Linked DNA regions of Canis lupus familiaris. The protein of the gene in region 3 interacts with the protein of the main gene of each other region in a pairwise test. Links are inferred from orthologs where the notes say so. Each region holds a gene or a part of one and is shown on either strand. Other genes may lie near its edges. The genes, in order: EHHADH, MRRF, TRIM27, EIF3D, PSMB3, ZGPAT and USP2.

Region 1 (3,500 bases), on a different chromosome or scaffold from region 3:
CATTAACCCATATTGTGATGCCAATAGCTTCAAAAATTTTTTGATAAACTTCATTGGCTATGATACTGCCCCTGCACAAAGCTCAAAATAAATATTTGAGCCTCTCTCTTGCAAGGCTTTCCTAACAGTCAGTCATGGTTTTTTCCACTACTGATCATCCCCATCCATCGACCTATTATTGTTCATAACTTAGGTCTGCACTCAGTATGCAGAAGGCATGGTAAGAGGGACACAGAAAAACAAGCACTTAGGATATATGTCTTTATTCATAAGCCTTTATAAAAATTAAAATGCCATAAGGATTTGGTTAAATAATATATATATATGTAACATATATATATAACATATATATATATATAACAAAACTATACATCCATTTAAAACAATATTTTTAAAGACTATTTAAAATAAGATTAACAGCAAATTTCTCATCAGAAACCATGGAGGCCAAAAGGCAGTGGGATGACATAGGCAAAGCACTGAAAGAAAAAAACCTGTCAAACAATAATTCTATACCTGGCAAAACTAGCTTTGAAAGTGAAGGCAAATTAGGGGAGCCTGAGTGGCTCAATCAGTTAAGTGTCCAATTCTTGGTTTCAGCTCAGGTCATGATCTCATAGGTTGTGAGATCGAGCCTTGAGCAGGGCTCTGAGCTCAGTGGGGAGTCTGCCTAAAGGTTCTCTCCCTTCTGCCTTTCCCCCACTTTGGCACATGTGTGCACATTCTCATTCTCTCTCTAAAATAAATAAATAAAACTTTAAAAAGATAGCAAAGAAAAAAAAGCTGTAAGGACAAAATATTAAATAGGAAAAATACCAGAAGAGAACAAAATAGAATGCAAACAGTGGTTATTTCCGAACTGTGAGTATATGGTGATTTTAGTTTACATCTTTATAGTTTCCTGTATTTCCTAGTCTATTACAATGATCAATGTTATCTTTATAAGTAGAAAAATATGTTACTTGCAAAAATGTTACCATTATAAGATTGGTATCACAGACCTCATCTACATATCTAAAAGGACAAATTAAATCTATTTACAATCTATTAGAAACAAATAGATTTACAGTTTTGTGCTATTTTCAAATAGGAAATTGTCTTCCTGGGTACTGATAATTATGAGGGACCACAAAACTGAAACCTTTGAGATAGGAAATAAAAATTTAAATAAGTAAGCATATTCAGGAATGATAGTCAAAATACTTTAAACCTTTTATCTCATGAACACAGCTCAGATGAACCGAATGTGACCATACCACTGAAGCAGAGTCCTGGGGGCCCTGTACTGGCCCAGGAGTTCCCTTTTAGTTGGTGGATCTTGGGGAAACCCAAAGACTAGGGTTAGGGAAAGCAAAGGAACAGTCACAGGCTCAGACTAATAGCTATTTACCCATTAGAATGGTCATATTTCAACTACTACTACTGTGCTGGTATGTGACAGCTGAAAAACCATCACTAAAAATACAGGAGTTGTCAACCAGTGAACTAGTCTTTTAAAATGCTCACCTCTGAGGCTTACACAGCATTTAGATTTTGACTTAAAAAAAAGCCTCCCACACCAAGCCCCATATCGAGCTTGAGCTGTTACCTCTGCATGAGCAATCCTATAGTGACAGCCCAGCGCCAGCTCCAGTCCCCCTCCTAAAGCCAGGCCTTGAATAGCTGCCACCACGGGCTTCTCAGTTCTCTGTATTTCATCTACTATATGTCCTAGTACAAAGTCAGACTTTCTGGGCTCACCAAAGCTGTGGATATCAGCACCTAAGGACATAGACAAAGAAAAAGAGAGCTGAGAAAGATCTGGGCTTTGTTAACATAACAATTATGTAACAGATAACTCTCAAGGAACCTCTTTGGGCCCATGAAACATTTTATTCTTTAGTTGGACACACAGTGAAGGAAAATCAACCTAGAAAATGTAGAACAACATGGGAGAAAATCCTCAAATCTTGACCAGGAATCCTGTAATCTTCTAAAATCTGTCTTTCCAGGGCAGCCCGGGTGGTTCAGTGGTTTAGTGCTGCCTTCAGCCCAGGGCCTGATCCTGGAGACTTGGGATCGAGTCCAACGTCAGGCTCCCTGCATGGAGCCTGCTCTTCCTCCTGCTTCTCCCTCTGCCTGTGTCTCTGCCTCTCTCTCTGTGTGTCTCTCATGAATAAATACAATCTAAAATAAAATAAAATAAAATAAAATAAAATAAAATAAAATAAAATAAAATCTGTCTTTCCATGTGACAGATAACAACTCTACCTTTAAAAAAATTTAAAAAGTCAAGGGCCCCTGGGTAGCTCATTCGGTTCAGCATCCAACTCTTAGTTTCGGCTCAGGTCATGATCTCAGGGTTGTGAGGTGGAGTGCTGGGTAGGCCCCATGCAGGGAGCCCGACGTGGGACTTGATCCTGGGTCTCCAGGATCACACGCTGGGCCTAAGGCAGGCGCTAAACCACTGAGCCACTCAGGCTGCCCTCAACACCTGCCTTAAATGACTTACCAGAGAATTAAGCGGAAGTATACTATAATATATATTTAACAATATTGACAGCATTCTGTAACATTATTTTTCATATTTTCCTTTTTCTACATAACATTATAAATACTGAGCATTTTCCCTATTGATTATCTACTCTTTAAAAACATTAAGCTTGGTATACGTTAAAAAGTTAAAGCAATTATTTCACATTCAGGCTATTCATCTTTTTGTTTCTACCCACTCCTTACCTAGCATTATGTTTTTTTCTTACCAATCTATCATATTCACATTCTAATCTATTGTCATAGTTATGTAGATTCCTTTTTGGTTTAAGAGAAACAAGATCTATGGGACACCTGGGTGGCTCAGTGGTTGAGTGTCTGCCTTTGGCTCAGGACATGATCCCAAAGTACCGGAATCAAGTCCCACACCAGGCTCCCTGCATGGAGCCTGCTTCTCCCTCTGCCTGTGTCTCTGCCTCTCTCTCTCTCTCTCTCTCTCTGTGTCTCTCATGAATAAATAAATCAAATATTTTTTAAAAAAGAGAGTAACAAGATCTATTTCAACCTGCATCTTAGGCCTATCAGTCCTGTAACTTTAGATTTAAATGATTTTCATGTCCTAATAGCAGTTAGCATGTATTGGATAAATACTTTACACCAGGCACCATGCTAAGTAGTTTCTGATGCTCTTTTATTTAATTTTCTTAACACCTAGGTTAAGTAGTATAATGATCCTCATTTCACAGGTCAGGAAGTTAAGGATTTGTGCTGTTAGGTGGTAGTTCAAACACATGAGCAGTTAATTATGGGTAGAATAAGAACTTGAACTCCAGCAATTTAACTACATAGCCCACATTCTTAAATGTATACTGCATTCTTCTACTTGCAGTGTAAGGTTAGTACTTTTATTCCATTTTACAGAAACCAAGGCACAAACAAGAGTACAGTGATTTCATGTTTTCACTGTGTATTTCTGGCATATAGAAATGCAATTAATTTTTGGATATTGATTTAATATGCAGAAAAAA
Region 2 (3,500 bases), on a different chromosome or scaffold from region 3:
AGGCTCTTGGAAGGTAGGAACAATGTCTTTTCTTTCTGTATCTACAGCACCTATTAATCAGCACAGTGTAAGTGCTCAATAACATTTTGGTGAATACATAAGTGTGTAGATGGACAAATGAATGGAAAAGGGTAAGAACAAACACATGAATAAATCTATACCTTAGACAACTATTAAGAGCAATCAACTTCTTTAGAGATAGAAATTGCTGGTAGACAGCTGGAGGTGTGAAAGGAAAAGTGCCTGCTGGTTCGGATAGTAATGAAAGAGGATATGTAAAATTTGGCATGCAGAAGACTGGCTAAGTTCAGTTTCACCCAGTCTCTTCATGGCCCCAAGTTCTACGGAGAACGTTACACAAACATAACCCTGAAGAGAAGGAGGCAAAGAGGAAATACCAATGGGAGGCCTTTTGAAAATGGATCTTAGCTCAGCTTTCCTGATTTGCCATAAGATCCTTTGCCACAGAAGTTGCAACGTGGGCTTTTCAGTATGCAATTGTGGTGGTTCCCATTCCCTAAATACATATCGACATAATGCATCAAATCCTTTTCCCTCAATCTGTCCCCAGCGAGAATCTCCCTCAGCCTCATTTCTGCCCCTCATTTTCTCAGAGGTTAACATTTAACAAATTACACTCCCTACCTCTTTCCAGGCCCATCATCTTTTTAAGTTCAACAAGAGTGGAGCTTGCTGGCTAATTTTAAGTATCACATTTCTCCCTGAGCTCCTCTCAAACTGCTCTCTGGTTTCGGCTGCAGAATGTTAACAGGCCAGAAAGCACAGGGGAGACAAAGCACTTTATCAGTTTCATACCTAAAATAATAAGCAAGTTTAAAATAAACAGTTGGGAGAGATTGAATGGCACGCTCTACTGCCAGCAAAGGCAGAAATGCCCTAGTCCAAAGTTTGACAAATGACGGAATGGTCTTCTGATTTCACATAGGATCTCGTCTCTCTGAACTCAGTATGTTTCTCCTGGTGTTTATAAATGGAGCTGTATATTTTTCACTTGGTTTTCTTAAGAACAAGTTCACAAAATATTTTCTAGTTTCCTTAGGAACTATCCCAACCAAGATGTGAGTGGGAGCAGCCCAAGCTCCCAGAGATAACTTCAGAGGGGGTCTCAGGCTTGACTCTAGGATGATGACAATTTCCAAAAGGCCAATTTAATAGCAATTGGATTTTTCCTGCCTGCCTGCACCATTAGCTGACAACTCACTTCTTCCATCACATCTGCAAACAGTTCTCCTAGACAGTTCTGACATTTCCCACTTAGAAAAGCCACTTTCAGGAAGTTATTAACCCAAACGGAATCTTCCTGGTCAAACTCAGGGGTACAGATATGCCTCAGATGGATAGGTTTGCAGCCACTTGGTTCCCAGAAAGCCATAAGAATGGCCAAATAGGATAAATCGGAAAAATCAGACCAAAGATGTCAGTTACTGTGAGATTAAATACCCAAAAATGTTTATATAGCATAACCATAATAAAACTCCCATTTTCTGAGAGTGCAATTCCATGAGAGCAAAGACTATGCCTATTTTTTGTTCACTACTGTGTACCAGCATAATACTTACTTCAGAGTAGACAAATATTTGCTAAATGGATGAATCAGGTATTACTGTTAACTATGAGCCAGGCACTGTGCTCCAACCATTCTGTATTTATTTTAATACCTACCCCAAAGATATAAAGTAGGAATTAGACAAGGAAACTGAGGACCAGAAAAGTAAAGTAATTGTCCATGGTCACCAGTTAGTAAGTAAGTAACAAAACTGGGACTGAAACCCAGCTCTGCCAAAGCCATGATCTTTCCACTATGCCCCTCTCCAAAACTTTGGTTCAGTCACTAACCTGGTGAGGTCCTTATACTGATAGTTTTATTGAAATTATCTTTGAGTGCTTCCATCACAGACTTCATTTCTTCATCCACCTCTTCCAAGTTGATTATATCCTCAACCAAGGCAGCATTAAGATTCACTCTGGTTTGGAACTGTCCTTTCCCTTTGGCTAGAAAGTCAACAATCATTGAATAAAAGAACAGCAGCATAGACAGAGATAATAAACAATTAGTGAAGAAGTACCTACTAAGTGCAGGGAAAAAATGCCAAGTGCTAAAAAATTGTACATTAACAGTATCCTAAGAAAGAACTTTAATTATTGTTCACTAGGTCCCCAGAACTGTGCTAATCACTTTCTGAGATACTAGTGAAGACACAGGTTTTATAATGAAATACTTCAGGTGAAAATCCTGACTATGATGAATACCAGTTTTATGACTTTGGGCAAGTTACTCTACTTTTCTGAGTATCGGGTTTCTTGCCTGTGAAACAGGGATAATATCTGTACTGCCAGGTTGCTATGATACAAATTAAGTAATTCAAATACCTAAAAGAGCACTGTCCATATGGCAGGCACTCCATAAATGAATTCCTTATTTTTTAGAAAAATAAACTGAAAATGAGAAAGGTAAAGTGATTTGCCTAATGTCATAAGGTCCTGGAATTGTAAAGCCAAGATTTGGTCCCAGATCTGTCTAATTTTAAATCCAAGAACTTTCCATTAGATTGTCTCTGAAAAATCTAATTGGAGACACAGGAAACATATTAATTCATTTTAAAATGAATACTAAGGGAGGATATGCAAAGTATCTGATAGCCAGGACAGATAAAAAGAACAACAGTAGTTAACAAATATTAAACACCACTAGTGGGGGAATCCCTGGGTGGCTCAGCGGTTTAGCACCTGCCTCCGGTCCAGGGCATGATCCTGGAGTCCGGAGATCAAATCCCGCATCGGGCTCCCTGCATAGAGCCTGCTTCTCCCTCTGCCTGTGTCTCTGCCAGCCCGCCCCCCCTTCTCGTGTGTGTGCGCGCGCGTGCTCTCTGATGAGTAGATAAATAAAATCTTTAAAAAATAATAAAATAAACACCACTAGTGGTAATAACAATGGTTTGTATTTCAGAAAATCAATAGCAATGGCAGCTGAATAAAATTTGATTTTATGCCTAAGCCACCAGTTCTTTTTCCATATACATTCTATATATATAGATCACTCCCATGAGTAATACAAATATTCCTGCCTTTCTTCATGGAAAGTAGGTGAAGGGGAAAAAAAAAAGTAAAAATACTAAGTAATACTATCTTACATTTGTTAACTATTTGACAAATTTTTTTTTTTAAAGATTTTATTTATTTATTCATGGTAGTCACACAGAGAGAGACAGAGAGGCAGAGACATAGGCAGAGGGAGAAGCAGGCTCCATGCAGGGAGCCCGACGTGGGATTCGATCCCGGGTCTCCAGGATCGCGCCCCAGGCCAAAGGCAGGCGCCAAACCGCTGCGCCACCCAGGGATCCCTATTTGACAAATATTTATTGAGATTTATTCACAACAAATTTCATTGAACATCTACAGTGGGCCAGATCCTGTGATATTTCTAGAGTATATATATATTTTTTAAGATTTTATTTATTTATTCATGAGAGACGCAGAGA
Region 3 (3,500 bases):
AAGACAGATATTCAGAGCATGAATGCATTTCCCCTAAGGGATCCCTATCTTCCTGTTACCTGTGAACTGCTTCAGACTTTCCGTCAAGAACAGACATTTTTGTGCAAAAATGTGGATTTTCTCCTGCAGATCTGGAGGTGTGATCCAGGGCTCAGGGATCCGGATTCTTTCAGCTCTAAAAAAAAAAGAAAAAAAAAAAAAAAAAAAGGAGTAAATCCCTCCCCTCCTCTAACCCTATGACTTCAGAAGCCCAGACAAAGTCTGGGTTAAAATGACCAACAATGTTTAAAGCAGCCCCTACAGCCTTTTCCCTCTTCTCTGCCTAGACTGTGATCCTCTGGACAAAAGCAGGAGAAACAGCTTCCTCATCTCCATTCCCCCAACAGGACCTAGCTCATGGATTTTCAAATGGCTTGTCCTCAAAAAGGTTTACTGAATTAAACCGAATAGAAGGCTGACCGTGCCAGAAAGCAAAAGATTCCATGACAAAGTCCTTGAGCTTCATGGTGGGCAACAATCCAGAGGTAAGAACCCTTTTCAGGCAGATTGGCACCCACCCTGTTCAGGGGGTCCATGATCCATGACTGCCAGCTGCCTCCCCAATATCCCATCTCCCAAGTTACACCACGCTCACGGCTGCCCCGTCTAGATGCAACCCTGTGACTGAGCTCTGGCCAGTAAGAGGGAAGGAGTGTCTCATGGCAATCTGCGAAGCCTACTTCAGGGGGAGCGTGCTGTGACGTACTTATCACCCTCATGCTGCCTGGCGTTCCAGCAACCATCCTGGACCGGGACTTCAAGGACAGCAGGAGAGCGGAAAGAAGGAAACTCCCTGCTCCGCCCCTGGCTACCTACCTGCACCTTCCTCACAGGTGGCAATTTCTGAAATTATGTTTCAGCTTTAAGCCAACGAAATTTTTGGTTTCCTATCTCATACAGCCAGACCCCAACATTAATGTCATAAAACGCTGGGCTCTGAAGGGTCTATCTCCCCATGTCAGGCCAGAACTGGACCGGCATCAGTGACTGTAAGGGCAGGGATCACTGGGGCCATCTGGCTGGGACTGGACACGCTCCAATTCATCTCCCTCAAACCCTCGATTTTACCCCAGAATCTCTCCATGTGGCACTCCCAGCCAACCTACTCTATCTATGAGGCCCTGGCCCAGCTCATTTCTCTGGAGGGCTTGTACTGTGCAGTGTTTTAAACAATCTGAAAGTTCAGCTCCTTCTAAGTCAGCCTCTGCCCCTGTAGATGCTGCTGCACCAAACCCCAGCCCATGGGCCCCTGTCTGTCCTGCAAACACAGGTGAACTTTGGCATCTGGCCCGCTCCTCCCCGTCCCCATCAGATCACACAGCCAAGAAGGAATGAGAACAGGAGCCTGTATCAGGTAAGTTAGCACTGATTCTGCAACTCTGAGCCACCCACACTCCTCTTAGGCCATATTTTCCCCATCATACAGTTGGGGAGAGGACTCTGAAACCCTTGCACTTTGGCCAGCTCTGTGTGAGCCTTTGCTCTCCACAGATGTGTCCTCACAAATCACAGGTACTCATTCACCCGCAGTTTGTCAGTAATTCCTGAGTTTACTAAGCAGAACTGTGGTCCATCCAGCTCTCTGCACACCAGTGACTTGGTCCAGAGACGGGCAGGCTGTGTTTCACTCTCGTCAGATGTCCTTCTCTGGCTCCTTTCAGGATTTATGAGTCTAAGGGAAACATCCTCCTGTGTGACTGAGCACTGGAGAGAGAGAACACCGTACCTGCTCAGTGTGTCCCCGATGTCCTACAAGAGAAAGGAAAAGATAACCATGAGACCTTCGTAGCTTCAGTTTTCCTTCAGATGTTGGTTGGAAACCCAGGAACCAGCTGGCCCTCCTACGAAAAGCCAGGGAGACAAGGACCACAACTCAGCCCAGGACCTAGAGTCAGGGTGAGCAAAGTGAGATGCACAGTTTGCACTCCCAGCATCTCCTCTGTCCTGCTTCTGCCCCACTGGCCCAGGATCTCACGATTTCAAATTTCCAAACTCCAGTATCCCACCCTCAGACCACAACTGCCTACTTGTCCAGCTTGCTTTAACTTTTTATTGTGAAATAATTTCAAATACACAGAAAAGCTGCTAGTACAGAGCTCCTGGATACCCCTTCCCAGACTTTCCAGATTTTTTTTTTAAGATTTTATTCATTTATTCGAGAGAGAGAGAGAGAGGCAGAGACACAGGCAGAGGGAGAAGCAGGCTCCATGCAAGGAGCTTGATGTGGGACCTGATCCCGGGACCACACCCTGAGCTGAAGGCAGGCACCAAACCGCCGAGCCACCCAGGGATCCCCAATTTTCCAGATTTTATAACCACATTTATATGCAGAACCATTTGAGAGATCACTATTTACATTCTATGCTGTATCTTTGCCCCGTTAATACTTCTGTGTGTTTTTCCTAAGGATAAGTACATTTTCTCACATAACCACAGTAGTTATTCAATCCAGAATAAGGAACATGGATCTAATGATCAATGATCTAAGAAAACCTTTATCTAACCCAGTCCATACTCTAGTTTAACCAATCACCTTATTTTTTTTAAGATTATATTTATTTATTCATGATAGACGTAGAGAGAGAGAGAGAGAGAGGCAGAGACATAGGCAGAGGGAGAAGCAGGCTCCATGCCAGAAGCCTGACGTGGGACTCAATCCCGGGACTCCAGGACTGCACCCTGGGCCAAAGGCAGGCCCTTAACCAATCACCTTAATAAAGTGATCTTCAGCTACTCTCTTCCCTGCTCGGTAATCCATGACCATTCACCACACTCAGCTATCACCATGCATATCTGGAATGGCTCCTTAGGGCTGATTTGTCTTTTGTGACACTGACACTGGTTTAATATAGGTTGTTTATTCTACAGGATATCATCCTTCCTTTGGAGTTTGTCAGATATTCCCCTCATGATTAAATCCAGGCTGTATCATCTTTAACTGGTGTATGGTATGTTCTTCTTCTTCTTCTTCTTCTTCTTTTTTTTTTTTTTAAGATTTCACTTATTTATTTGAGAGACAGAACGCACAAGCAGGGGGGAGGGGTAGAGGCAGAGGGAGAAGCAGATGCCCCAATGAGCATGGAGCCTGATGCAGGGCTTAATCCCAGGACCCTGATATCAAGACTTGAGCTGAAACAAGAGTCCAATACTTAACCAACTGAGTTACCCAGGCACCCAGTGGTATATCCTTCTAAAGGTACATGATACTCAGTTGCCCCTTACTGGGGCAATTCTTTTTTTTTTTTTTTTTTTATAAGTTTTTTTTTTTTTTAATTTTATTTATTATTCATGATAGTCACAGAGAGAGAGAGAGAGAGAGAGAGAGAGAGAAAGGCAGGCAGAGACACAGGCAGAGGGAGAAGCAGGCTCCATGCAGGGAGCCCGACGTGGGATTCGATCCCGGGTCTCCAGGATCGCACCCTGGGCCAAAGGCAGGCGCTAAACCGCTGCGCCACCTAGGG
Region 4 (3,500 bases), on a different chromosome or scaffold from region 3:
TCGTCCTCCACAAATGGGTTTGGGTTAGGGAAGTTGTATCTTTCCTTCCCCTGCCAACAGACAAGGGTGTCACGAGACAGCAAGCACCCGTGGCTGAGCCCATGGACCAGCCCCTGCACTCAGCTTACAGTCCTGGCTGGCTCCCTGCAGCCCTTGAGGGGGTGGTGGGCTCCACATGCACTATGTCGTGGGCTGCTTACTCCTCCCAACTTCAAGCACAGACCCCCTGTATCTGAATTCGCAGCCATGACTGACCACTGTCCTGTTTCACTTTTTCTAGAGTACATGCCACCACTCGACATGACATAGGTTTGTTTAGTTTACTATCTTTCCTTTCTGTTATAATGAAGCCTCCTAAGGGCAGAAACTTTGCTTATTACTACTAGATCTCCAGCACCTAAACAGTATATTGTATAAAACAGCATGGGGATCCCTGGGTGGCACAGCAGTTTGGCGCCTGTCTTTGGCCCAGGGTGCGATCCTGGAGACCCGGGATCGAATCCCATGTCGGGCTCCGGGTGCATGGAGCGGGCTTCTCTCTCTGCCTGTGTCTCTGCCTCTCTCTCTATCATAAATAAATAAGTAAATAAATAAATAAATCAGCAAGTTTGTCAAACACCTGAAAGAACCTCTACATCCTGTCTGGCTGAGACAGGTATGCTTAGTATTTTAACCCTATAGAGAAGAAACATACCACACACCACAAAGCTCTGAAGTGGTGAATCTAGGGTTCAGTCAGGCAGTCTGACCTCAAAGCCACAGCTTGGAGCTCTTCTGTGACAGGAAGAGACCATGCCTGCCCCTGCTCAGTCCCACAACCCCACAGCCTACCACAACGCAGATATTCAATGGGGACACTGGGAAGGGGACAAAAGAGAATCTGGTGCCCAGATGCTCTCTCCGCCTTACCATTCTCAAGCACTGCTGGGAGAAGTTGTGATTGATGTAGGTTGCTTCCATGGCCAAGTTGCGGGGTGAATTGAAGGAATTGCCTTCATCTTGTGGGGGCTCATTGGCAGTCTCACTCACTGTCAGGAGGTCTGCAAAAGTGGCAGCGTGGTCACCCACCAGCGAAACCGAGTCATCAACAATGTGCCTGGCAATGCAGGGAGGGGCCACGATCCCAGCAACACAGGCCCATCCTTCCAGCATCTGCTAACCCAGCTCTCCCAAGCGCGGGGTGCAGAGGCGAGGAAGCAGGAAGCACTACTGGGTAACTTCGGATCCTCTCTAACATTAAATTCAAGCACATCATAAGACAACGATCCCCTTTCAGTCCCTTTGGATTCCTCAAAATAATATCTGATTTTGTCAGCTTTTTAACAAGAAGAAGGTCCTAAGCCTCTGGTGCGGAATGTAATTATATCATTCCATCTCACTGCTATCAAATTTCAGTGACATGGTTTCCCTTCATGGTGTGTCTATACACATTTATGTTGTTATCAAATACATGCACATGTAATCTTCCCTTTATAAATACACTGAAATAAAGGTAAAAGAAACATTAATTTAAAGAAAACATGGAATAAATGTTAAAGGTGGTATGGAGCATTGACAGAAGCCAGGAAAATGCCATTCAAATGAGTAACACCTGCACACATAGTATTGGGGCTATGGGAGGACTCAGAAATCTGGCACCTCGAGGAGGTAGTGCATGACAGGCCTTCGCTGAGGAGGCGGGGAGGGATTCAGCTGCAGCCATCAGTGCTTGTGAGGACACAGACCACTTCCCGTCCACTCTCTAGTAGCAGGGACTTGCTCGAAACCAACAGAACACCTGACACCTTGTGCTGCTCCCAGACAGGCTTCTTACCAAAATCAGAGTTGTCCCTTTTATCAAAGAAGAGCTTGGACCCAACTCTTTGCACAACAATGTCCCAGGAATACACGGAGCGGGTGCAACTCATCAGTGTGGCCAGAATGGCATCAGTGGCAAACACATTACCCTGGGTTTTTGCCAGCTGCAAAGAGGACAGAGAGAAAGAGAGATGTGAAGATACACTTAGGCCAAACAGCCCACGTGCACGGAGGACTCCCCTGCAGGGAGCTTTCTTGCCTTCAAGCACACGTGCACACCCCTCTAACCTGTCTTAAGGGGTGAGTCCGGCAAACCAGCCCACAAGCTTCCATGGCCAGTCACCACCCTGGGATACAGGGACTGCAGCTCTCTGAGCACTTGCCATATTCCAGGATGGCACCTTGCAGTGCTTTCGTCCTGCCTCCAGTGGCTGGTGGTAAGCACATTCAACCCATCTCATGGGTAAGCAAAAAAGGCCTCAGGTAGGTGGTGCGGGGGAGCCCGGTAGAGCTGGGATTCGAGTCCACCTCCGCTTAACCCCAACATTATGGTGTAGCCAGCAAGGTGCCTGTATTCCCATCTAGTCCTGTCCCGTTTGGGAGCATCTTGTCTAAAAGGGTTTCTGAGGTCCCAAGATCCATGGATGTGCCTGTGTGCTGTTCCTTCTGCAGCCTCAACTGTAGAAGCCAGCAGCACTCCTTCAGGGTGCCCACCTTTCGGATGACAGGGTCATCTGTGGTGGTGACAGTGTGGAAGATGCGCTTGATGCTCCGCAGCGGCTTCTCGCTCCTCGTGGTGATGCGGTCGAAGGCTTTATCGTAGTACTCCAGGGCACCACAACACTCGCTGACGGGACAGTGGAGAAGACACACAAAGGAAACGGGAAGATCATCAGCTGCTTTTGTTATTTTTTGTTTGTATTTTAAAAGCCATTATAGAAGGGTGCCTGGGTCGCTTAGTCCACTAAGCAGCCAACTCTGAATTTTGGCTCAGGTAATAAACTCAGGGTGGTGAGATCAAGCCCATATCAGGCTCCACACTCAGCAGGGAGACAGAGCCTGCTTGAGATTCTCTCCCTCTCCTTTTGCCCATCCCCTTGCTTGTGTGCGTTCTCTCTAAAATAAATCTTAAAACGAAAAGACATTGAATCCAAACTCTTATCCAGAAATCTAAAAAATAAGAAATGGTTTTTCTTTGATGAGAACAGAAGACAAGTTCTCAGAGTTCACTCAGGGCCCGTCCCCTAAGCTCTGGATATGGCCCCACAGAGCAGCATGAACAAAACTGATTGACTCAACCTCCACATTTTAATGACATGGTGACTGAGGCCAAGATGAAGAGACAGGTAGTTCTAGAGGCCTCCAGATGCACTGACTTCTAACCTGGTACTCCGGTCCCCACTGACATTGATCTGCTACTTGAGGTAAACAGCTCTTTGTAATGTCAGGAAAAGCTTTGCTTCTGACAAACTACTCTCTCTTCTTGCCAAAAGAGCCACACAACTTGATTTCTCTTTTGCTCACGATGCCAGGAAGTGGAAAGAAATCTCTCAAGTTTAACATCAGCGAACTTCTTTCTCCTAGTCTCGCCTTAGCCTTGATTTTTAAAAACACATTAATCTTGTGCAATGTCTTAGCAGCTTCAAATTCTCTTTTGGAAATACTATGGCTTAGGAACATAAGTCACCAGCAGCAGGTCCACA
Region 5 (3,500 bases), on a different chromosome or scaffold from region 3:
TTGTTTTGTTTTGTTTTTGGTCCACTGCTCTTTTGACTGTCATTTCCCATCTGTGTGTCTGCAGGTAGACTCTTGCCAAGAGTGTAGAGGAGCTGTGTATTTTATGGTATATAAATTGTCCCTCAAGAAAGAGAGGCAAAGGGGATGCCTAGGTGGCTCAGTGGTTGGGCGTCTGCCTTTGGCTCAGGTCGTGATCCTGGGGTCCTGGGATCAAATTCCGCATGGGCTCCCCATGGGGAGCCTGCTTCTGTCTCTGCCTCTCTCTGTGTGTCTCATGAATAAATAAATAAAAATTTTAAAATTTTAAAAAAGAAAGGCAAAATCTGTTCCTTACTTCCCCTCACCTCAGCAAAAGGTATGGGAAGAGAGGTATTACAGAATGGTATGTTTACAGGTGGTAAATGTTGGATAATCTGAAACATGGACGTGAGGCTGGACTTCCGGTGAGAAAAATCACTGGGAGGGAAAGAGAAGAGTCTTGTCAGGGGGAGGCGATTGTGTGTCTCCCTACATACATCCTGACCTCCAGGGGGTGGACACCAGGGGACCATTCACTTGTGACTTACTACCTGACTTTTCTTCTGTCACAGTGCCCAGCGTCTCAAGTTCCGGCTAAACCTGTATGAGCTGAAGGAAGGCCGGCAGATCAAGCCCTACACACTCATGAGCATGGTGGCCAACCTCTTGTATGAGAAACGGTGAGCGGAGTGTAGCCTGGGACTTGGGGAATGCAGAAACCTTGGGCCGAGTAGGCACGTGGTATGGAGAGATGCCTGGGAAGGTTCCTCTGCCTCCCGTTTCTTGTTTGCAGGGTGATAACCTTACTTTTTGGGTCTGTTTTCCATGGGCCTTTCTGATAACCAAATAGGACAGGAACAGTTACTTCAGAAGAAGACAAGGAATGCAAATAGCAGACAAACTTGTTTCCAGGCAACAGAATTAACCCTTCCAGAGAGTGCCCTGGAGTCTCCCAGCCAGGAGCCATCCTGACTCCAGAGCTAATTCTGTTGGCACTAGATTCTCGGGACCTAGGAATGGAGTTTTCTTTGAAGACTTCATGATGAGGAAAGTAAAGGCCTAGGCACAGAATCCAGTGCAGAAGCAGAAATTAAAGAAGAGCCCCACGGGGACTTTTCCACTCATCTCTGGGCTACACTGGGTGGCAGAAAGACAAGTGGGATTCTTTTGTTTTCTTTTTTCTTTTTAAACTTTTTATTTTAAGATAATTTCAAACTTTGTGGAAAAGTTACAGAAGTACTCTTTAGCTCTTACAACTAAGTCTTTGCCATTTCCATACGTGGAGCAATACTGTTGCCTTTTTAGTATACAATCTAAAAACCTATAGGGATCCCTGGGTGGCGCAGCGGTTTAGCGCCTGCCTTTGGCCCAGGGCGCGATCCTGGAGACCCGGGATCGAATCCCACGTCGGGCTCCCGGTGCATGGAGCCTGCTTCTCCCTCTGCCTCTGTCTCTGTCTCTCTCTCTCTCTCTGTATGACTATCATAAATAAATAAAAGTTAAAAAAATAAAAAAAATAAAAATAAAAATAAAAATAAAAATAAAAACCTATAAAACGATTGCGTATTTCTAGGTGTGGTAATATCTATCCTCAGATGTGTATTGTCTGCCATGTATGGTAACCATGTTTATCAAAATCCTGAATTGACAAAGGCCTAAATGATTTTTAAAACTGATTTATAGAGGGGGACAATGTCTTATACAGTCCTAAAGATAACTCACATTTAGGTATATTTGTAATGGCTCATATTGTTGTTTTTAAGTAAATTCTACATAAATCCATCATAGAGCTTGAGTTCACAACCAGGGTAGTGAATTCAGGCCCCACATTGGGTGCACAGATTACTTTAAATAAAAAAGTAAACTTAAGGGATCCCTGGGTGGCGCAGCGGTTTGGCGCCTGCCTTTGGCCCAGGGCACGATCCTGGAGACCCGGGATCGAGTCCCACGTCGGGCTCCCAGTGCATGGAGCCTGCTTCTCCCTCTGCCTGTGTCTCTGCCTCTCTCTCTCTCTCTCTCTGTGTGACTATCATAAATAAATAAAAATTTATTTGAAAAAAAAAGTAAACTTAAAAAAGAAACCCACAAATGGAGTCACATGCTCTACCAACTTAGCTACTTTGTTTATTGAAAATAAGAAAAACGCAGAACATTGAGGCTGACCTGGAAAATTCTAGGTTCTTAGCTAGCCAGGAGCTTTCTCTATAAGCCCAGCTGAAGTCAGTGACTTTCCAGCAGGATAGGCTAGTGCTGTGATTTGCAAATTTGAGCAATGTGCAAAGCCTTTTTCAAAGAAAAAACTTCCCGTGGTCCCAGAGAATCCATCCAAGTACCTCTCTTTGTGAGACATTGTCCGTAAAAGTTATTACATTCGGGTGGAACCTTGGTCAGTGTGACTTGATGTCTAAATGCTGACCCTGAACTGTGTTTTGTATTTAGTTTTAAGATTGTCACTTGAAGGGGCACCTGGGTGGCTCAGTGGTTGAGCGTCTGCCTTTGGCTCAGGTCAAGTCCTGCATCAGGCTCCCCTCTGCTTATGTCTCTGTGTGTCTCATGAATAAATGCAATCTTAAGAAAAAAAAAAAAAAAGTCGCCCAAATAATCTAGAATATTCTTATATGTATTTACAGTTTATTGTAAACTAAATACAGGATTTCAATTTTTTAAAAAGATTTTATTTATTTTAGATAGAGCATGAATAAGGGAGAAGGGCAGAGAGAAAGAAGCAGACTCCCCACTGACCAGGGAGCCCAATGTGGGACTCGATCGCAGGACCCTGGGATGACAACCTGAGCTGAAGGCAGACGCTCAACCACTGAGCCATCCAGGTGCCCCTGGATTTTAAATTTCTTAAATAAGTTGATACCCAGGCATCTGTTCAAGAAACAAGGGTTCAAAGCACACTATCTCAACCCCTTCATGTTACAATTAACTAGGTTTTTGTCTTTAGAATTTTCTTTTGTAGAGCTGTAATTGAAGGTCATACTCTTAGATATTACTGAGAACTGGTATAAGACATGGATAAGTAAAGACAAAACATCTTAGTTACTGTTTCTATTGAGACTAGTGGTCATTAGTTTCTGAGTATTTTTTTTTTTATTTTTTTTAGTTTCTGAGTATTTTATAGAGAGATTCCAGAGATTAATTCTTCTCGAAGCTCAGGATCTAGAACAAGGTTTTGGGTTTTTGTTTTTGTTTTTGTTTTAGATTTTATTTATTCATGAGCAATACCCAGAGGCTGAGACACAGGCAGAGGGAGAAGCAGGCTCCCCATCAGGAGCTCAACGCGGGACTTGATGCAGGACTTGATCCTAGGATCAGGATCACACCCTGAGCCAAAGGCGGACACTCAACTACTGAGCCATCTAACCGTCCCCTAGAACAAGTAACTGATAATCTCCTATTTCCTTGTAGGCACAGGCAGACAAGGAAATAACCCAACTCGATGAGTGTCCTTTGCCTTGCCTGCCAGGAGACTCACA
Region 6 (4,017 bases), on a different chromosome or scaffold from region 3:
TCCATTGTCCCAACAACTATGAAAGACAACTCTCGTTTGTTTTACAGATAAAGAAATTGAAATACAGACCTTAAGCTATAAAAAATGAACGAAAAAATACTGTATCTCACTAGGAACCAAGGAAACACAAATTCAACCATGATCCCATTTTCCCAGCGCTCAGCAGGCAGGAATCGGCAGTGATAGAGAGGATGAGGGACGAGGCACCGGCCTTCATACGGAAGCGGGAACTCTGCACACTCTCGACACACCGGTCCCATACTAGGGAAATTCTCAGGCAGGTACAGAAGAAGACGCTACTAAGATGTTCACAGCAAGCTGTTTGTAACAGACAAAAACTGGAAAACATCAGAAAGGAACATAATAAAATGTGGCACATTTGTGAGAGAAAAGAACATAGCAGTTAAAACCAATTAAACAGCTCTGGAGATACCAGCACAGATGCCCTCTCACATCCCTGCTTAGTGAAAAAAGCAAGTTGCAAAATAAACCATCCTGTGTGACACCATTTGTTTCAAAAGTAGCACAAAAAGTTACTCTTCTCATATAGGCTCCTGTCTGCGGAGAGCTAACATCTGCTAGAGGTAAACACAAGGGAGTTGTGATCACAGCCTGGGAGGAGAAGGGGCTGTGACACAGCTATTTTTAAAAATACAAAGCAGGGGCGCCTGGGTAGCTCAGTGGGTTACTGAGCTAAGAGCGTCTGCTCAGGTCCTGCTCAGGTCCTGATCTCAGGGTCGGCTCCGAGCTGAGCAGGGAGTTTGCTTGACATTCTCTCCCTCTCTCCTTCTGGCTCTCCCTACACGGAGGGTGCATACTCCCTCCCTCTCTCTCTCACAAATAAATCTTTAAAAAATAAATAAAATAAAAATGCAAAGCAATGCAAGAAAAGCGTTGATCTGTCTGGCAGTGGCAAGTGGCTGTCGTAGGCTGTGCCAGTCGGGCCTATAGCTAACACAACAGAGCAAGGCACAGCAGTTGGGGGCCGAGGCAAAGCTAGCCTGTGCCCGCTGCAGGCTCGCTCGTGCCGCCGTCTGTGCCAGGCAACCTTAGCCGTGGTGGGGCCCACCCCTGGGGCTTGCTGCACGGAGGGGTCAACACACGTGAAACTCCTGGCCCGGAGCCTGGCCTAGAGGAACAGCACACGGACACGTCAGCTCTCATCGTCACAAGGGGCATCACCCGGGCCCGTGGAGGCACCCAGAGGGTAACGGCAGAGAGGACGAGAGGGCTTGCTGGTCTGTTCTCTGACCTGTTTGTTCAGCAGCACATGGATGGGTCTGCTTTGTGAAAACTCCAGTACGTTTCATGATTTACGCACCTTCCCGTACGGGTGCCACACTGTAATCAGACTTACAAGGAAAGAAAGGATTGTGGAAAATCGTGTTAAAGGACGCTCTGGACCCAGCAACGGTCCGTAAGCAAAGACAAAGACCAAAGGACTAGAGAGAGTTTCCCTGGGTTATTGACTCAAAAAGAAAATCATCTGCAAGACTTGGTAAACATTCCTTCCACAGATGGAAGCGATAAGGAGCAAAAGCCGAGTCGGGCATTTTAAGGAAAGAGTGACACCGTTGCCACAGTCGTGTGAATCTCATCATGAACAAGATCCAACTTACGGATTTGTCAGGGATGCGACCCTTGAGCATCGATTGATGAAAGAAAAAAAAAAAAAAGAAACCAGTGACTTCTACGGTTTCCTTTACACGGTGCAGGCAAACAAGAGGAAGACAAAGGAGAGAGCAAACACGAGCCTGGCAAGGAAGGGCTGATCAGCGGCGAAGGGGGCAGCGGGCGGCCCCACGCCGGGCCCTGCGGGGCTGCGACACTGCATTTTGCAAGCTTCCCCCGAAAGAACCAGAGCAGCGAAGGGTGGGGCACCGTGCCTCCCAGGACGGCGCGGCCTACCTGCGCCCCTGCCCCGGACTCACCTGCAGCTGTCCTGGAAGCGGCACTTGCCCTCCAGGAAGAAGGGGCAGGGCTTCAGGGACTTGTGCGTGGGGTAGAGGTAGAGCACCCGCACGCCCGCAGAGCCGTCGCGCGCCGCCTCGGTGCCCACGATCATGGCGTTGTGGTACTCCAGCGTGCCCCAGGAGCTGTAGTACGGCGCGTTCACCTTGCGGCCGCTCAGCGCCTCCTCCTCGTCGCCGTCCTCGTCGCCGGCCCGCTCCTCCTCCCCCTGCCCGGGCCCGCTGGGTGCCGGCTCGGGCTGGCGCTCGCGCTCGGGAGCCGTGTCCGGCGCGGCCCCGGGGGCTGCGGGCGCTGCGGGCCCCGCCTGCTGGGAGCCCCGGCTGTCGGCGTCGCCCGGGGCCGCGCGCTCCCCGTCCAGCGCGGCCAGCAGCTTGCTCTTCCGGACGGACACCAGGCTGGCCTCGGTGAGCTCGATGAGCTCCTGGAGGTCGCCGCGCAGCTGCCGCAGGTCGGCCAGCTCCGAGGGCTCCAGGCCGGCGCCCAGCGCCAGCTCCACCTGCTGCAGCTGCGCGTCATAGGTGTGCAGCGCGGCCTGCAGGCTCTCCTCGTCCATCCTGCGGCCCGGCGGGCGGCGCGGCTGCAACGACGGGGAGCCGCTGAGCGCCGCGCCGCCCCCCGCCCCGCCCCGCCCCCGCCGCGGCCCGGCCCGCTCCGCCCGCCCCGTCGCCTCGGGCCCCGGCCCCGTCGCCCCAGACCGCGCCCCCTCGCCCGGGCCGGGCCCCGCCTCCGCGCGGGCTCCGGGCCGCCGCCATAGAGCCCCGCCGGCCTCACCGGCTAGAGCGGCCGGCGCCCCCGCCTCCGCCCTCGCAGCCCACCGGCACTTCCTCCCGGGCGCCGCCGCCGCCGGAAGTGCCTCGCGCGGGGGACGCCGGGACGCGGCGCGCGGGGAGCGTCGGGACGGCCCCTCCCCCCCGCGGCCTGCGTCCCGTCGGGCGCCGCGCGAGGTCAGCGCGGGGTCGGCGCGGGTCGGCGAGGTCAGGCGCGGGCGGCTCCGCGGCCCCGACGGGCGCCAGGTAGCGCGGGCCGGTCGCCCCGGGGCGGGGGGGGCGGGGCGGGGCCTCGGGGGCCGCACCCGCCGTCGGGCCGCGACGCCCGCCGGCCGCCGCCTCGCAGCCCGGCTTCGGGGGGGGGGGTTCGGACGCCGCCAGGGGCTCCCGCTGCGCGGCCGCCGGGCACCTGCTGGGGCGGGGGCGTCGTCAGCCCGGGGAGCCTGACGTCACGGCGGGCCTTCGGGGGCGGGGGCGCGGGGGGAGGGGGAGGGGAGGGGGGGGAGGGGAGCGCCCCGGCTCCCAGCCCGCCGCGACCGCCGCCTCCGCTGCGCAGGCAGGATGTACACGCTGCTGTCCGGCCTCTACAAGTACATGTTCCAGAAGGACGAGTACTGCGTCCTGATCCTGGGGCTGGACAATGCGGGCAAGACGGTGGGTGCCCGCCCCCGGCCCTCCCCCTCCGGGCGGCCCCGCCCGCCCCCACGCGCCCCCCGCCCGCCCGGGACGGACACCGGACACCGGGGAAGCCGCCCTCACCTCCCGCGCGCGTCTCTTCGCAGACGTTCCTGGAACAGTCGAAAACCCGCTTTAACAAGAACTACAAGGGAATGAGTCTCTCCAAGATCACGACCACCGTGGGTCTCAACAGTAAGGCCCCCCCCCCCCCCCCCGGGGCGGAGGGCTTGGGGGGCCGCCCGGGCCGCCTCGGGGAGCCCAGAGCCGCCCGTCCCTGGCCTGGCCGGGAGGCGGCGCGTGGCAGCGGGTCCCCAGCCTGTGCTGTCCTCTGTCCTCTCCCCGCAGTCGGCACTGTGGACGTGGGAAAGGCTCGCCTCATGTTTTGGGACCTGGGGGGCCAGGAAGAGCTGCAGTCGCTGTGGGACAAGGTAAGCCGGCCGTGCCCAGGCCGCCCCTCGCACCGCTTCCTCCAGGGACACCCCCGGCCCAGCCTCCCCTCAGCTCCGTCCCCCACTGTGTCCCTGAGGCTCCCCCCAGCCCTGTCCCAGCTCCCCCGTTGCCCCCACCCTCGAGAGCGAGGACCTGCCAGTTCCCTTTTAAC
Region 7 (4,124 bases), on a different chromosome or scaffold from region 3:
GGATTCCGGGGGATCCCTGGGTGGCTCAGCGGTTTGGCCCCCGCCTTCGTCCCAGGGCATGATCCTGGAGACCCAGGATCGTGTCCCACGTCGGGCTCCCTGCATGGAGCCTGCTTCTCCCCCTGCCTGTTTCTGCCTCTCTCTGTGTGTGTCTCGCACGAGTAAATAAATTCTTTTAAAAAAGAATGGATTCGGATATGTTTGCAGGCAGAAATTTAAGTATTTCCCTCCAGGTTGCCCCTAGTTTCTCTGGGAAATAGAAGACAAGGAGGGACTTTGAGAATGGTGATGGCCAGCTAGAGCAGCCATGGGGGCGGGGGAGGACATAAGGACACTTGGAAGAACCAACAAGCCAGGTGAAATTGAAAACCTGGGTTTAGGGGCGCCTGAGTGGTTCAGTGGGTTGTGTCTGCCTTTGGCTCAGGGCATGATCTTGGGGTCCTGGGATGGAGCCCCTTGTCAGGCTCCCTGCTCAACAGAGAGCCTGCTTCTCCCTCTCCCTCCGCCCCTCCCCTTGCTCGTGCTCGCTGTCAAATAAATAAAATCTTAAAAAAAAAAAAAAGAAATAAGAAGAAGAAGAAAAGAAAAAAAAAAAGAAAAGAAAACCTGGGTTTGCCTTGGCACCAATCTACCTGGCTGCGCGATTTTCTTCAACACCATGAAGACACAAACGAATGGGGGCAGGCGAAGTTCTGTCTCGGCCTTTTCTTGAAAAAGTAAAAAGACTCCCTTCCGCTAAGTGCCTCTGTTTACCCCCTCAGGGAGCCATCAGCAATCATCACCAATCACCGGTTCCATGTTAGCAAAATGAGCAGAGTGTGCTTCGGAGGAGAGAAAAGGAGGAGAGGCAAAGAACAGGCTCCCTCCCAGGCCGGTGGGAAGGAGCGGGAGCATTTGGCCTCCCCCAAACCTGGAAGCTGAGGTCTGTGTGTGTGTACGTGTGTGTACACGTGCAAACACACACACACCACACATACATACGCTTACACATACCCTCACACACACCCCCGGCGCCCAAGCCCCGGGCCTCCCCCCGCTACCTGCCCGCGGCCCGGGCCCCGCCCCCCGCCCCCCGCGGGCCCGCCTCCCACCGGCTCCGCCCCCTCCAAGCTCGCGCGCCGCTTTCCCGCCACGTGCCGCTCTGTATATACCCGTCGCCTGGGAGACGCCGGCCGGGCGGGGCTCCCCTGACGTCACACTGGGAACAAGCCAATCGCCGTGACGCGTCTCAGTGACGCGAGACGCGCGGTGGGGCTCTGCCGGCCGGGGCGCAATGAGGCGGCTGCCCGCTGGGTGGCGCCGATTTCCCGGGGAGGTCCTCACCCGGCCCCGGCGGAGGTGGGGGAGAGGCGGGCAGGAGCGAGGCCGGGGAGCCCTCTGCGTCAGCCGCTGCTCACTGCGCCGCGCCAGCACCAGCCGGGACTCACCCGCAGCTCCATGCCTGCGCCCGGCCCCACTCGTCCATCCTCGGAGAAGAGGCAGGTATGTGCCACCTGTCGGAGACCGGGGAGGAGGGATGCGGAGGTCAGCGCGGTCGGAGGCTCAGAAAGTGAGGTGTCAACGACAGCCTGGGTGGAATGGGCACCAGCTATGTAGGGCGAGCGCCCGCTGTGCGGAGGAGCTCCAGCTGTGGGCGCCAGTTGGGGGGGGGCTGCCAGCTGACAGCCCGGGGTGCCAGGAAGAGCCATCTGTGTGCTGATCACTGTGTTCTAAGGAAACCCTGCTTGGGCAGGTCCGGGGCTCTGTGCCCCGTGTGGTGTATGGCCTGAGAGTGACGCCTGGTCGCTGACAACCCCTTCCCCACGTGTGCGCCCAGTTCAAGCTCCGGCGGGCTCTCTCTGGTCAGTTTGCCAAAGGGGTGGGGGTGGGGGGAGGGCAGCAGTTAAGTGGAGGGGGAGATTTTCCACCAATCCCAAACCAGAGAGAGGCATCTTTGAAATTCTCACCAATCCCAAACCAGAAGCAGGCACGCGGTGCTCCAGGGCGAGTAACTTACACTTAGCCACGGGAAGCCCTGGCCAAGCCATTCTAGGTGGGACCCCCCCACCCCCCACGAGTGAACGTCTACCTCCTCATCTGGCAGCTTTTAGAATGGGGCTGAGCTGGAGATGGTGGTGATGTCCACCTCCCCAGGCATGGGCATGAGAAGGTCCCCGAGTCCAAACCCGCAAAGTGGAGGAGAGGAAAGCTGGTTAGGCTGGGTTGGGGCATCCCCCACTCCTCTGATACTGTAGATACGTGCCAAACTGGAGTCGGAATGACGATTGGAATGAGGGCCAGGGACGAGGGCGTCCTCTGAAGTGCATCACCAGGACCCAAGCTGAGTCAGTAGCCTCTGCTGAGACAGGGTGGAGGCACCATCCTGGGTACTCCCAGTCCTCAGGGAGAGCCATCGAGAAACAGGAGACACAGACTGGGAGCAGACAAGAGCACCAAGGCCCAAGAGGTTAAGAAAGAATCCTGCTCCATCCTCCTGTGAGCCTGCCCAGCCCAGCTCTGTGGCCTTGGAATCCTGAGCACTCCGACAGGTAGAGTGGAACCACCCCAGAGCAGCTTTCTCCTGGTAGCCTCGGGGCAGCTGCACTTGCTTTATTTTTCTAGGCAAAGGGGGAAAGGGCCGTAATCGACCTGGCTCTTCTCCACTGGATGGGCTGGACATCTGGGAATATAGCAAGAGTCATTGGCCCTTGCCAGTTATGGGACATGGAGCAGCTCAGAAAACCACGGGGCTATTGTCTAGTGTTAGAACTGAGCACTCCCAAGGGGTGGCCCAGAGGCCCTATTCTCCCTAGGAAGGCTTCCGTGGCAGGTGCAACTACAAATACTCCCATTAATTGTAACAATTAGTGGAAGTATTCAGCATAATCATTACTATCATTTATTGAAATTTTACCATGTGCCAGGAAATTTACAAATATTATTTAATTCTCACAATGGTGAGATATATAGCATTATTATACTCTTTACTCCTGTTTTACAGATCAAATCACTAAGGTCCAGACAGCTTACATGACTTGCCCACTGTCTCAGCCAATAAAAGGGAAAGAACTGGAATACAAGCCCAGGCCTAGAAAGAAGTCCATTATAAAAGAATTTGGAACCGAATGCCTGAGAGCAGGTCCCGCCTGTCACTACCTGTGCACCCCGGATCTCTAGGTCTCTACCTCAAAAGGGAGGATTTGCACCAGCACCGAGGCTTCCTCCTCTCCTTTCCTCTCCATTCCATCCCCATCCCTCTACCCTCTTTTCATTCGTCTCCCCTTGGATCCCTCTTCTGTTCCACTTCAAAATGCCCCCCTCCAAAGAGCCCTCCCACGATCTCCTTGCCTGGCAGTGGCCCACTGGGGCAACACCTCGAGGGAGGGCTGGCCACTGCCCCTTTAATTCTCCCCTGGCCTGGAATGCAAGTGAGTTGAGCTAGCCATCTCTGTGAGGTCAGATAAGATACTATATATATCGGAGTCCGTAACCTGAGCTCCGGATTACCCAGCCCCAGTCAGACTTCAGCCTCTGGGCTCTCTACCGCGCTCCCTGCCTTGCTGGGGAAGGAGAAGCCCCCAGATCCTGCCCAGTGCCCCCGGACACAGGTCAGTAGCTGCCCGTGTAGTATGTGAGCTTCATGGGGCCGCTGTCCAGGGAGCCCTTTGTGTTTGGGGGAGCATGTGAGAGGCTGCCCAACAGGGCCTGGAGGGTGCCTGGGGCAAGATGGAAGGCTCAGGCTCAGAGGGGGCAGGCAGAGGCAGGGAGAACAGGGCAAAGGCAAGCCCAAGAGGAAAGGGAGGGAGACGGGGACTCTGCCTGTGGAAGGGGCACCAGGAGAGCTCCCGACAGGGCCCGTTCCTTTGCCTTTTCTTGGAAGTGTAGAGATGCCTACCCCTCATCCCCCACCCCCCAGCCTCAAATCAAAAGGCATGCTATAGAGATAGTACCCTGGGCCTACTCCCTTCTCCACCAGTTAGGACCCTTGCCCTCATCTCCAATCTCTCTCATCCCTTCACTCCTCTCCCAGCCCTTGGGCAACTATTGGGAGCAAGAAAGAGATGGATCCAAATTCCCTTGAACGACCCCCTGCCAAGGCATGTAAGAGGATTAGGCACTCAACTGGTGGGTGGCTAGCTCGGCAC

The links.
Region 1: the proteins of TRIM27 (region 3) and EHHADH interact in binary tests that used the Homo sapiens proteins (3 or more experiments, as listed by UniProt). The two-hybrid records come from large-scale screens. The link is inferred for Canis lupus familiaris from reciprocal best matches to the Homo sapiens genes TRIM27 and EHHADH.
Region 2: the proteins of TRIM27 (region 3) and MRRF interact in a two-hybrid assay, tested with the Homo sapiens proteins (2 studies listed by IntAct). The link is inferred for Canis lupus familiaris from reciprocal best matches to the Homo sapiens genes TRIM27 and MRRF.
Region 4: the proteins of TRIM27 (region 3) and EIF3D interact in binary tests that used the Homo sapiens proteins (3 or more experiments, as listed by UniProt). The two-hybrid records come from large-scale screens. The link is inferred for Canis lupus familiaris from reciprocal best matches to the Homo sapiens genes TRIM27 and EIF3D.
Region 5: the proteins of TRIM27 (region 3) and PSMB3 interact in binary tests that used the Homo sapiens proteins (3 or more experiments, as listed by UniProt). The two-hybrid records come from large-scale screens. The link is inferred for Canis lupus familiaris from reciprocal best matches to the Homo sapiens genes TRIM27 and PSMB3.
Region 6: the proteins of TRIM27 (region 3) and ZGPAT interact in binary tests that used the Homo sapiens proteins (3 or more experiments, as listed by UniProt). The two-hybrid records come from large-scale screens. The link is inferred for Canis lupus familiaris from reciprocal best matches to the Homo sapiens genes TRIM27 and ZGPAT.
Region 7: the proteins of TRIM27 (region 3) and USP2 interact in binary tests that used the Homo sapiens proteins (3 or more experiments, as listed by UniProt). The link is inferred for Canis lupus familiaris from reciprocal best matches to the Homo sapiens genes TRIM27 and USP2.

Annotation. Positions count from the first base shown.
Region 1 is NC_049255.1:18,226,678-18,230,177, forward strand, and holds part of EHHADH (peroxisomal bifunctional enzyme), read right to left. Parts: intron 1,762-3,500; coding exon 1,589-1,761; intron 1-1,588. UniProt on the Homo sapiens protein: Peroxisomal trifunctional enzyme possessing 2-enoyl-CoA hydratase, 3-hydroxyacyl-CoA dehydrogenase, and delta 3, delta 2-enoyl-CoA isomerase activities. Catalyzes two of the four reactions of the long chain fatty acids peroxisomal beta-oxidation pathway.
Region 2 is NC_049230.1:60,391,866-60,395,365, forward strand, and holds part of MRRF (ribosome-recycling factor, mitochondrial), read right to left. Parts: intron 2,014-3,500; coding exon 1,858-2,013; intron 1-1,857. UniProt on the Homo sapiens protein: Responsible for the disassembly of ribosomes from messenger RNA at the termination of mitochondrial protein biosynthesis. Acts in collaboration with GFM2. Promotes mitochondrial ribosome recycling by dissolution of intersubunit contacts.
Region 3 is NC_049256.1:27,394,762-27,398,261, forward strand, and holds part of TRIM27 (zinc finger protein RFP), read right to left. Parts: intron 1,789-3,500; coding exon 1,766-1,788; intron 176-1,765; coding exon 60-175; intron 1-59. UniProt on the Homo sapiens protein: E3 ubiquitin-protein ligase that mediates ubiquitination of various substrates and thereby plays a role in diffent processes including proliferation, innate immunity, apoptosis, immune response or autophagy.
Region 4 is NC_049231.1:28,897,657-28,901,156, reverse strand, and holds part of EIF3D (eukaryotic translation initiation factor 3 subunit D), read right to left. Parts: exon of another isoform or gene 2,645-3,500; coding exon 2,512-2,644; exon of another isoform or gene 1,962-2,511; coding exon 1,814-1,961; exon of another isoform or gene 1,041-1,813; coding exon 910-1,040; exon of another isoform or gene 51-909; coding exon 1-50. UniProt on the Homo sapiens protein: mRNA cap-binding component of the eukaryotic translation initiation factor 3 (eIF-3) complex, a complex required for several steps in the initiation of protein synthesis of a specialized repertoire of mRNAs.
Region 5 is NC_049230.1:23,432,526-23,436,025, reverse strand, and holds part of PSMB3 (proteasome subunit beta type-3), read left to right. Parts: intron 1-590; coding exon 591-698; intron 699-3,500. UniProt on the Homo sapiens protein: Non-catalytic component of the 20S core proteasome complex involved in the proteolytic degradation of most intracellular proteins. This complex plays numerous essential roles within the cell by associating with different regulatory particles.
Region 6 is NC_049245.1:48,102,665-48,106,681, reverse strand, and holds the start of ZGPAT (zinc finger CCCH-type with G patch domain-containing protein), read right to left. Parts: upstream 2,801-4,017; 5' UTR 2,743-2,800; intron 2,549-2,742; 5' UTR 2,525-2,548; coding exon 1,932-2,524; intron 1-1,931. Other genes in the region: ARFRP1 (ADP-ribosylation factor-related protein 1), read left to right, coding at 3,300-3,392, 3,521-3,608, 3,762-3,844. UniProt on the Homo sapiens protein: Transcription repressor that specifically binds the 5'-GGAG[GA]A[GA]A-3' consensus sequence. Represses transcription by recruiting the chromatin multiprotein complex NuRD to target promoters.
Region 7 is NC_049226.1:14,550,286-14,554,409, forward strand, and holds the start of USP2 (ubiquitin carboxyl-terminal hydrolase 2), read left to right. Parts: upstream 1-1,324; 5' UTR 1,325-1,482; exon of another isoform or gene 1,483-4,124. UniProt on the Homo sapiens protein: Hydrolase that deubiquitinates polyubiquitinated target proteins such as MDM2, MDM4 and CCND1. Isoform 1 and isoform 4 possess both ubiquitin-specific peptidase and isopeptidase activities.